2 linked regions of the Callithrix jacchus genome follow. The protein of the gene in region 2 purifies or fractionates together with the protein of the main gene of each other region. This does not show direct contact. Links are inferred from orthologs where the notes say so. Each region holds a gene or a part of one and is shown on either strand. Other genes may lie near its edges.

What was found.
Region 1: the proteins of TDP1 (region 2) and XRCC1 purify together in Homo sapiens (affinity purification with mass spectrometry; 4 studies listed by BioGRID and IntAct, with this or other methods). This does not show direct contact. The link is inferred for Callithrix jacchus from reciprocal best matches to the Homo sapiens genes TDP1 and XRCC1.

The regions. Positions count from the first base shown.
Region 1 is NC_133523.1:38,031,766-38,037,182, forward strand, and holds part of XRCC1 (DNA repair protein XRCC1), read right to left. Parts: intron 3,888-5,417; coding exon 3,794-3,887; intron 3,700-3,793; exon of another isoform or gene 3,638-3,699; coding exon 3,505-3,637; intron 2,977-3,504; coding exon 2,922-2,976; intron 2,831-2,921; coding exon 2,691-2,830; intron 678-2,690; coding exon 587-677; intron 131-586; coding exon 55-130; intron 1-54. UniProt on the Homo sapiens protein: Scaffold protein involved in DNA single-strand break repair by mediating the assembly of DNA break repair protein complexes. Negatively regulates ADP-ribosyltransferase activity of PARP1 during base-excision repair in order to prevent excessive PARP1 activity.
Region 2 is NC_133509.1:124,881,171-124,887,335, reverse strand, and holds part of TDP1 (tyrosyl-DNA phosphodiesterase 1), read right to left. Parts: intron 2,848-6,165; coding exon 2,662-2,847; intron 2,060-2,661; coding exon 2,011-2,059; intron 490-2,010; coding exon 423-489; intron 1-422. UniProt on the Homo sapiens protein: DNA repair enzyme that can remove a variety of covalent adducts from DNA through hydrolysis of a 3'-phosphodiester bond, giving rise to DNA with a free 3' phosphate.

The DNA.
Region 1 (5,417 bases), on a different chromosome or scaffold from region 2:
AGGAGATGCAAGGGTGTGCCAGGGTCTCCCTTTCTCTGCCTCTTTGGGACTCACCTCCTCGAAGCTGGGATCCCATTCCTGTGCGGTGATTACAAACTGAACCCGGTCACTCATATAGTCCTCAAGCTCCCTGGTGGGAGAGGAGAAAAGAGGTAGAAGGAACATCAGGGAATCAACATTGACATCCTATGCCCCAACCACTCTCAATGGCTGTCCTCACACTGTCCCCTCCTATACCCCCTCTAGGCTGCCTTTGGTGCCTCCATTCCTCCATGTATCCATCTTGCCACAGCCACAATGACCAGAACTCCCACAGTGGCTAATCCTCAGGCTGGTCCTTTCAGAAGCAGGGGTAGGGCTAGGGATTCTCACCATAGAGAAGAGGAAACTGAGGCGAGCAATGCATCCTAGGCTGCCAGTGGTGGGAAAGCTGGCATTCGGACTCCATGGCCTGTGCCTGCCTACTGGACATGGCCCTTCTCCATCCTCCTGATGGTCTTTCCCACACCCCCACCCCTCCCAGCAGGTCCCTGAGCCCTGCCCTGGACCCATCACCCCTTCCCCACCCCAGCCCCTGGAGACTTACCCATTGAAGGCTGTGACGTATCGGATGAGTTTCCGCCGCTCGTCCCCAGGGAACTCCCCATAAAGGAAGAAATGCTTGCCCTGGAAGAAATCTGCAGGAGAGAAGAGGGCTAAGGTCATCGTGAAGCCCCAGGAGTTCCCAGGCACCGGACAGGAGTGATGAGGCTGACCCAGCCACTGAGGAAAGGGCTGTCCACATGTGGGTGGGGACTGATCGCAGGCAGTGGGCCCCCTGCCCAGCAGCCCATCAGAGCCTTCCAGGGAGGTAGGTTGGTTGGTTGGTTTGCTTGCTTTAACAGTATAAGATACAATGACTATTACTGTGATTTGTTTCTTTTTTTTTTTTTTAAAGATGGGGTTTCACCATGTTGGTCACGCTGGTCTTGAACTCCCGACCTCAGGTAATCCACCCGCCTTGGCCTCCAAAGTGCTTGGATTATAGGCATGAGCCACCACGCCCAGCTGTGATTTGTTTCTGACAGACAGGCTGGAGCTACTTATTTCTCATGTTGTTTTTTTTTTTTTTTTAAGACAAAGGCTTACTCTGTCGCCCAGCCTGGAGTGCAGTGGAGCAATCATGGCTCACTGCAACCTCTGCCTCCTGGGCTCAAGTGATTCTCCCATCTCAGCCTCCCCAGTAGCTGGGACTACAGGCTTGTGGCAACCACACCCAGCTAATTTTTAAACTTTTTGTAGAGAGACGGGGTACTGACATGTTGCTCAGGCTGGTCTCAAACTCTTGGGCTCAAGCAATTCTCCCACCTCAGCCTCCTGAGCAGCCAGGACTACAGGCGCACACCACCATGCTCTGCTAATTTTTAAAATTGTAAAGACCTAAAGTCAAGGCGGGGTGCAGTGGCTCACCCCTGTAATCCCAGAACTTTGGGAGGCCAAGGCAGGCAGATCACCTGAGGTCGGGAGTTCAAGACCAGCCTGACCAATATGGAGAAACTCTGTATCTACTAAAAATACAAAATTAGCCAGACATGGTGGTACATGCCTGTAATCTAGCTACTTGGGAGACTAAGGCAGGAGAATCACTTGAACCCTGGAGGCAGAGGTTGCTGTGAGCCGAGATCATGCCATTGCACTCCAGCCTGGGTAATAAGAACAAAACTCTGTCTCAAAAAAAAAAAAAAAAAAGCCAGGGGATCTTGCTATGTTGCCCAGGCTGGTGTTGAACTCTTGGATTCAAGCAATCCTCCCACCTTGGCCTCTCAAAGTACTGGGTGAGTCACTGCACCTGGCCTGGCTGGAGCCACTTAATGAGCTTAACCCAGGTTGGAAACATCAGTATCTGCTACTTCTTCACCTTTGCTCTCCTTTCCAACCAGCACCTTTCTTGCTCTGACCTTTGGAGTGGCTCCTCCTTCCTTCCATTTGAAGGTGACATTCTAGGCCATCAATTTGCTGATGCCATTTTAGGGGTTTTGGAGAATCAAAGCATCTTCCTGCCCATCACTCTCGAGGAACTGTGTGGAAACGGCTCTTCCGGTAGCCCCTGAACTGCACCACTACACAGCCCCTTCTTTTCCTCCTTCACTGCCTTTCCTCGCTCCCTTCATTCTCAAAGAAGCTCTGCCTCCCTGGCCCCATCCCACAACTCCCTGCAGAATTTCCTCGGTTCCTTTTGTTCTTATTCTTTTACACTGGAAATGCAAACACACATAACAGCAGCCATGTCCAGGGTGATGGCTGATGTTACAGCGAACACTGGTGTGCATCTACCCAGGGCCTGACGGAGGGCAGTGCCCCTGTCACCTGGTGTACCCGGCCTCACTCTGGACCAAAAGAACTGCACCCAGGCAAGTGAAGCACTAGTGGGAGGGTGAAGCGAAAAAAAGGGGGGTCACACCTGGTACATGGCTGCAAGGGGAGTAGTCAGAACAAGAAATCTGGAGGGAAGAAGAAGGCAAGTCATGGAGAGGATGCTGAAGGGAAGGGAACCTGGCAGAACCTGGAGGTGCTAAGGCAGGGAGTGGGTTGGAGAAGGAGAGGGGAGACAAGACATGGGGCAGCAGTGACCCCAGGGCTGGCCAGGGCAAGTAGCAGCTTCGAATTGAGAAGGGAAAATTCCACTTTGGGAGGGATGGGAGATTTCCCACCTGGGAGCTCCGGGACTGGCAGATCAGGAGTCTCCTGGTGTTCCTCGTCGTCGGTGTTCTCATCTGTGGAGCCTGCATATGGGTCTTCCCCATTCTCCTCCTGGCCAGGGGGCAGTCTGTGTTCCTTCTGCTCAGCCACCCTGGGGGTGCCAAGAGGGGTAGAGAGTGAGCATGCAGGGCAGCTCTCCTACACCCAAGGCCAGGCACCCTAAACCCCAGCCCCAGCCCTACCTCCTCAGCTCATCTTCTGTGTCCCCAGAATCTTCTGCCCCGTTGTCCTGTCCTTCTGCAAGGAGAAGCTCAATCAATGCAAGGCTGCCTTGTCTCCTGGGAAGACCAGCAGCCCTCCCTGGCATGGGTATGGCACAGACCCAGGCATCTCATGCCCCCAGCTGCAACTGCCCTCCAGATCCAGTCATCCAGGCCCCAGCCCCTCCTCCCTCAGACTTAGGAGTCCAGAACCCAGACCCTCCTCCTTCAACCCAAGAGTCCAGGCCCCACTCCCTACTCCCTCAGACCCAGAAGTCTAGGCCCCACCCCCTCCTCCTTCAGATGCAGGAGTCCAAACCCCAGCCCCTCCTCCCTCAGACCCCAGGATCTATGTCCCCAGCCTCTCCTCCCTCAGACCCCAGGATCTATGTCCCCAGCCCTTCCTCCCTCAGACCCAGGAGTCCAGGTCCCCAGACCCTCCTCCCTCAGACCCAGGAGTCCAGGCCCCAGCTCCTCCTCCCTCAGACTCAGAACCCAGGCCCCAGCCCCTCCTCTCTCAGACTCAGGAGTCCAGGCCCCAGCCCCTTCTCCCTCAGAGTCTGACCTGACTGTTCCCCCTCAATGTCTCTATCTTCCTGGGGCACTGGTGAGGCTGCTTTGGTCTCTTCTGGGGTTGGGGGCTTCTGGGGTGAGCTGGGTCCAGCTGCCTGAGTGGGCTTGGTTTTGGTCTGGGGAGGCTGAGGAGGGAGAGTGGGTGGGTGAGGAGGGCAGGAACAGTGTGGGTGTGATGGGGCGGTACCTGCAAGAGGCAGGAATACGAAGTTTGGGGTGCCACAGCAGAACCATGTCATCCTCCCACTACACCCTCCCCCACTGGAGAGGGGGCATCAAACCTTTCGAGGAAGCTTAGGGGCTTCATCACCACTGCCACCGCTGTGAGAGGCCTCATCGTCCTCACTGCTTGAGTCTGGCCCTGCCATGAGGTACCTAGGGGAGGAAACGGGCCTCAGATAAACAGGCCCAAGGGAAGTGGGGAAGATGGATGTTCAGAAAGCAACAGTCGATGGCATTTACTAAATACACACTCTGATGGGCTTCATGGTCTTGTTCCCAGCCCGCCCCTTCCCAGCTCAGGAAGGCCCAGTGAACCCACTCAGCCTGGCCACTTGCCCTGCAGACCTGGGCACCTCCTTGCTTCCCCACTCCATCTTTTTTTTCTTTTTTTGTAGAAATCAGGGTTGTTTTTTTTTTTAATTTAATACATTCTAATCAAATAGTAACAGCAGTAAATAAACACTTTGAAAAACAGGCAGGTATCCCCCTGTATCTGGAAGAAAATTAAGTCAAAGTATTCTACACAGCAGAAGGGAGACAGCTGTTTATGTCCATGGTTAGACAATTCAAGGACAACCTGGAAATTTCTAAAGCCATTTCCAAAAAATCAATGGCAACAGGTTGAGACACAGCTATTTCAAAGGGTAAAATGCCTATACCTATATTGGTTTTTATTAACAGGGATTGAGTTGCACCTGCATCACATGACATTCTTTCTTTTCTTTTCTTTCTTTTTTTTTTTTTTTTGAGATGGAGTCTTGCTCTGTTGCCAGGTTGGAGTGCAGTGGCGCAAGCTCGGCTCACTGCAACCTCCGCCTCCTGGGTTCAAGTGATTCTTCCGCCTCAGCCTCCTGAGTAGCTGGGACCACAGGCACATGCCACCACACCTGGCTAATTTTTTTTGTATTTTTAGTAGAGATGGGGTTTCACCAAGTTGGCCAGGATGGTCTCGATCTCTTGACCTTGTGATCTGCCCACCTCGGCCTCCCAAAGTGCTGGGATTACAGGCGTGAGCCACTGCACCCAGCCAATCACATGACATTATTGTCTTTTTTCTTTTTCCTTTGAGACAGGATCTCACTCTGTCACCCAAGCTAGAGTGCAGTGGCGTGATCTTGGCTCACTGCAACCTCCACTTCCTGGGGTCAAGCAATTCTTCTGCCTCAGTCTCCCCAGTAACTGGGATTACAGGCATGTGCCACCATGCCTGGGTAATTTTATTTATTTTTTGTTTGTTTGTTTTTTTAGGTACAGACAGGGTTTCACAATGTTACCCAGGCTGGTGTCAAACTCCTGACTTCAAGTTATCTGCCCACCTCGGCCTCCCAAAGTGCTGAGATTACAAGTGTGAGCCACTGCCTGGGCAGTATTCCCCTCCCTCTTGGGGAAGAAATGTCTCAATTCAGAAAGGAATGCAAAGTCAATTTCTCATTAGGAGAATACCTGCCATTTAAGGGGAAAATCTCAAAGCAAATACATTTTAGAGACGCCAACACTATAATCATGGTTCCTTAAGCCACTAACACTCCAGGAAAAGAATTTTTCTAGCTCTAACAACAGCGGCAAGTAGCCAAGCTCAGTGGCTCACGCCTGTAATCCCAGCACTTTGGGAGGCTGAGGTGGGTGGATCCCTTGAGGTCAGGAGTTCAAGACCGGCCTGGCCAACATGGTGAAACCCTGTCT
Region 2 (6,165 bases):
CTGACAACATGCCAGATACTGTCCTGTATCCTCAGGAGACAACAGCATAGGATCTGCCCTCACCAAGCTTGCAGCCACACGTGATGGTATAGACAGAATAATCATACTTTATATTTTGGAAAAATGGACTAAAATGCTGCTTATGTAAATTCTAAACTACCCAATATGATCTTTTATTTGTCTTTCTTGGCATGCCAATATTTAAATAGAAACCTCACAGCAATAAATTTTCCTCTTTGGTATTAAAAACCTATCCAAAAAAAAAATTTTCAAAACCTTGTTTTAAATTATTTCCATCACCAACATATGTAGATGAAAGAATATAGCTATATTACATAAAGTTCCTTAAAAAAAAAAAAGTGACATAAATAACATTCTAATTCCTAAAGAAGCAATAGCAGCAGTCTAAACCAATTACTTACTGAAAATAGGAATGCAGCCAATTCTGTTTTTCAGCTGTCTGGATGCTATAGGGAAGAGAGCCCCCAGCTTTTAAAAGAAAAATAAAACAATAAAAATTATGAAATAGAATTTTAGAATCCTTCACTAAGAGGAAAGTCTATAATAAACAGCAAGAAGGTTAACAGGAAAAAACTACTTCCATTACTTTATCTTATGGAATAGTTATTTGAAAGAAAATGTCTATACTTGCATTAGGTATGTTCTCTTAATGGGTTTCCTTCCTTAGGTATGATAAATGTTTACCAGTATACTTTGTACTGGCTGAACAGATTCTGACACACAGAAAATAATGGCTAAAAAACAAATTAAAATTCAGTAAACAGTTCAATTTGAAAAAGGAATTCTAAAAGCCTTATTCTTGCAAAGAGAACAAAGAAAGTTCCAAGTGGAAATGCAACTGAAGTCAATGCTTGCTCGTCTTGAAAAGGACAAAAACTCCATTGTGGATTCATCAGTGACTTTCCAAACACATGCTGGAACTTCACAGTGATCTATATCCAAAGAGATCTATATCCAAACATCGCTGACATATCAAATAGGGAATGTCCTGTCTTCAATTGCAAATAACTAAAAAGATTCCATTTGAAAGCCAGTTATAAAACATCTTTGTTAAAAATACCATGTTGTTCCCCATTAAAAGTACACTTCGAATGAATCTAGCCTATTAGAGACACAAAAAGAGGACCAAAGAAAAATGACCACCGTATCAGAGGGTGGTCATTTTTACTTTATCACAGGGTCTTGGTGAAGTAAGTAATTTTGGTTTTGCCATTCAAAAGCAAAAAAATTGGCAAATACATCCCAAACGCTATCGAGATTTTTCTGGCAGATGTTTCTTTTCCAGCCTGATAAGCAATAAATGAAATAAATTAGTCTAATTCGGTACACTCTGCTTTCAGCCATCAGCAAATGCCAATTACACTTTGCTTTTTCTAGAGGCAACCACTATTTGGGTTTTCAGTTAATACCTCCTGATTACACTATCTACGGTGCTGCTGAATTCCAAATAAAGGTTTAGCACCTGGTATGGGTGTAAGGGAAGTGAAGAACAAGGCTCACATAAAATACCTACAAAAAATCTTAGGCATTTGCAGATGAAGCCCTTGAAAGAACAGACACATCAACAAAGTTATATCAAAGGTAAAAATTTAAAAATTTCAGACCCTAGATATATATGTATCAGGCATTTAAAAAGACCACGTGGTACCTCAAACACAGGAAGTGGAGAGAGATGAGAGGAAGGTATGTTAGCTAAGCTCTGAAAAGGGAAGCTGGTTTTACTTGACTATCTTGTCTGGACAACCTGCTGGTTACCTTACTGGTAAAAATGAGAACCAGTGTGTAGAGGATTTCTGTGAGGATGAACACCACACCCAAACTGAGAGGTATCATCTATGGAACACAGAGCTTGATACTACCTATTTCTGTGATCCTTATATAGTTAAGTGAAAACCATCTCCAAATTTCTAACCAATACTAGTAAAAGTTTACCAGGACATTCATGAAATATACATAAAACACAACTGAGACAGTCTCCCAAAGAATTACCAGGATATCCTTCTAAACTGGTGCGCACATTTTCCACAGAAGGATAGATCTAAAAATAAAAGAAAAACAATACAACTTGGAATATATCATGTTGAAGAAAAAGAATGACAATCAGCTTTTAAGAAAATGAAAATCTCAGTTAAAAATACTTTTAAATTTGAAAATATCCTTTAAATTTTAAACTGTTTTCATCTTATAAAAAATAAACTAGTAATTAAACAACAGATATTTGATGAAAAGTTATAATTCAATTTGAATATTTTTTCCTTGCAATGTGAAGTTAACATTGAATGAAAAATTAATTATTAATTCACAGGTCTCTAAATAATTAAAATGCTCATAATTCTGCTGGCTATGCTACATCAAATATTTTCTTCCTTGGCTCAACAACCTGAAAGGAAGGATAGAAAAATCACAGGCCAATATGTGTCAGTAATGGAGCTCCTGAACAAATCAGCAAGCTCTTGGCATTGGATGGTATTGAAGCAATTTGATTACAAATGATGATGCTAATGTACCACTCTTTCCACACCTCCATAATCCCACAAAAAAGAATCACAAAATAAAACATCTCTTCACTACAAAGTGGATCAATTTTCAATTCTTCTCCTGTGTAGAGAATAAATTACCACAACGAGGACGAGCACTTACCAAGTAAAGAGGAACAGAGCTTTTTCCTGGAGTCTTGCTTTCCTTCCCCAGTGCCAGCATGCTCTCTTTAAACTCAGAACATAACCACTTTGATTCATCAGCTCCCAAAGAGCCAATGCTTGAAAACTGGCCTACTACAGGCCAGGACTCTTCGTTAGGTATGGATGAGGCATGGTCTTTCAGAACCTGGGAAAGAATAAAAGGGAATGCTAAAGTGACTCAAATAATCTTAACAGAAATGCTGTAATACCTGAGAACAGTTTTCTGCTCTTGGAATGCCTAATTAACAAGAAAAGCTGAAAATACTAGTGATCAATTTCATGTCCACATATACACATTTTTCTTCTTTGGGAAATATTTTTTTAAATACTAAAAACATTTTTAAGGGAGTAGATGGACAGATGTTCTCCTTTTGAAAATTCTTTGATTTGTACTAAAAGTAAAAACAGATTTAAGAAGTTTAAAAGGCCCATTTCAGTAGAAATGTCAGATAATCCACCAACTTGTCATGTGGAATTAGATTTCTTACTTGAAATCATAATTGTTTAATGCACCTTTCCTCTGATACTGTGAAATATGTATTTGGTCTTCATCCCTGCTTCCAGGCATTCAACAACTAAAATCCTTGGGATCTCCAATGTGTGTCTTTCTGTATGTTAATGAGACTGATGGCTGGCAGACCCTAGGCAACCTCAGGATTGGGGCTGGTCATGAGAAAGACCAAGGCATGACCAAACGTCACAACACCCCAACCTCCAGAGATAGGAGGGGCTAAATGTTGAGTCGATCACCAATGGCCAGTGATGTAATCAACCATGCCTATGTAATGAAGCCTCTATTAAAAAAACAAAAGGACAGGGTTGAGGGAGCTTCCTCACAGCTGAACACCTGCAGGCTCCTGGAGAGTCATGGTGCACCCAGAGAGGGCATGAAAGCTCTGTGCCCCTTCCCATACCTTGCTCTATGCATCTCTTCATCTGTATCCTTCATAATAAACCAGTAAACATTTAGTACATGTTTCCCCAAGTTCAGTGAGCTGCTGTAGCAAATTAAACCCAAAGAGAGGGTCATAGGAACCTCAACTTGAAGCTGGTCAGTCAGAAGTTCCAGAGGCCCAGACTTGCAACTGGTGTCTGAGGGAGAGGGGCAGTCTTGTGGGACGGAGTCCTCAATCTGTGGGATCTGAGGCTATCTCTGCAACTGAGTACCCCTGTATTTCTTTTAAAAAAGTATTTTTTCAATTATTTTTTTCTTACTTTTCTCTTTCCTCCGTTCCCCGCCACTCCTTCCCCACTTTCTAGTTAGCTATTTAGAAATGCAATTATAACCTTTTATTCTTCCTTCACCAGACACTCCCTATAGGGCAAGTTCATCTAACTATGTGCTTAGAAGCTCTAGAGCAGAACTTTCCCCCACCAGGGTACTGTCTCGGGGGACAGCAGTCAATTTACAACCCAAAGTATGCCCACTACGAAACTCTCCCACCTGGAGAATTTCCACCAGCTTTACAACCTAGTTCTGCCCAGAAGAAATCAAATGGACTGCCTGGTAAAGAAGGCAGAAAGTAAGAAAGTAACCACCTGCTTGTTTCCTCCCCTGTGTGCCACTCATGCCAGTGCTCCGCTTTAAAAGTGCCCACTTTCTGCTCCAAGAGCAAAGCCATACCCCTTTAGACAAGAAGCCTGTGCTTATTCCTCCAAGCTAGCTTTGGAATAAAAAGTCACTTTCTTTATACCAGACCTTGCACTTGCTAATTTGACTCTACCAGCCGTGACCAAACTGAACTGCGTTTCAGCTACATCTCCAGGAAGGCAGCATAAGAATTGAAGTGAATTAGAGGACACCCAGTTGGTGTCCCCTGCTTAGTCTATGAGGAAAGTCACATACATATTTGGTCACAGAAGTTTTCTGTGTTGACTGTTGTGGTGTCAGAGCAGGGGAAACAAAGTGAGTTTTTGGCTAAGAACACTTAAACAATACCTAGAAGGTGAAACTATTACATATTTTGACTCCTATCATGTGAAAGAGGCTTAACATTCATAATTCACAGTTTAACACTTGAGCTCCAGGCAGCTGTGATGGTCTAAACATAAAAGAAAATATATTTACATACACATACAAGCTAAAGCACTGGAGAAGACCAATCTGCATTTCCTGCTTTGACAATTATGCAAAGCTGCAGAAACAATTCAGAAAATATTTCAAAACTATATCCACTTAAATATGTACTGGATACCTACCCAGAGGGTTGGAGAGAGCAGAAAAATAAACTGTAGTTCCTGCCCCAGTGGAGCTCATATTCTGACTGACATTTTGTGTAATTAAATATGTATTATTTTCCTTAACACAGCTTAGGCGCTAATATCAACACATACACTTCCCCAAAATCCCAAAGTTTCCATTTCCATCTTGGGTGCAGTATAGTATAGGAAACAGAGCTGAACCGAAAACTTACAATACGCAGTTTCTATTATAGGTCTCAGCCCCAAAGGGCTGCCCTATCCTGGACAAGTCTTCAGCTTAGACTTACACTTTGGTGGAAACAGGCATCTAATCACCGGCCTGCCTTCTTGGAAGAAAGCTGTGGTACAGCATGAGAAACTGTGTGTAAAAAGTGGTTTGAAAACTTCTTACAGTTGAAGTTTCGGTATCAGATGGTGATCACACACAATACGTGCTATTACCTAGCCGATCGAAACCATTAGACATTAGTCCACAAACTGTGTATACGTACTAAAGTCTTATTACCATGTGTCTTGTACTGTTTTACATTCATCATTTCACTTAATCCTCAAAATCATGGGAGGAAAATAGTATTATTATGTCCACTTTATAGACAACAAGCAATGTAAGTTAAGGAACAAGTCGAGGTCACATGGCTTGTAGGTAACAGAGCAGGATTTGAACCTAGCTATGGGTATCTGCCTCCAAGGCTGGGCACAGGCCAATGTGCTCAACTTTCTCTCTAGGCCAAGACCTAAGATGTCTTCAAGATCTTACCTGCTTTAAGCTGTGGTTCATTTCATAAAAGGAAATTTAAATAAAAAGTTTCATTAACTAAGGGAAAATTCTTACATACATAGTTTACGAAGCAAGAGGTTAAGATTTTTAAGAAAGCCACTTTAGGGAATTTATTAAGGTCAGGAAATCACCTAAAAAGAGATGAAAAAAACTTTAATCTTCAATTTGTTTTATTTTATGACCTTTCTTTTCTTTGTTCATTTTCATATCAGCAGCAAGTATCATTTTTGTAATTAGTTTTCTTAAGGGCACTGGTTTAATAATCAAAATATATTGTAGCTCAATTATAGTCTTTATTCGAAAACATTTTGTTTGTTGAATTTATATCTTAAAACTTGATATGCTAAATAATCAAAAGCTATAATCAAAGCTACAATATGTGTATAAATAGGAAGCCTCTATCTTTATTGCAATATAAAAACTAGAAAGGGTTTATATATTTATGCCATTTAGAAAAGCCTACAGCTAGAAAAGACAGAAAAC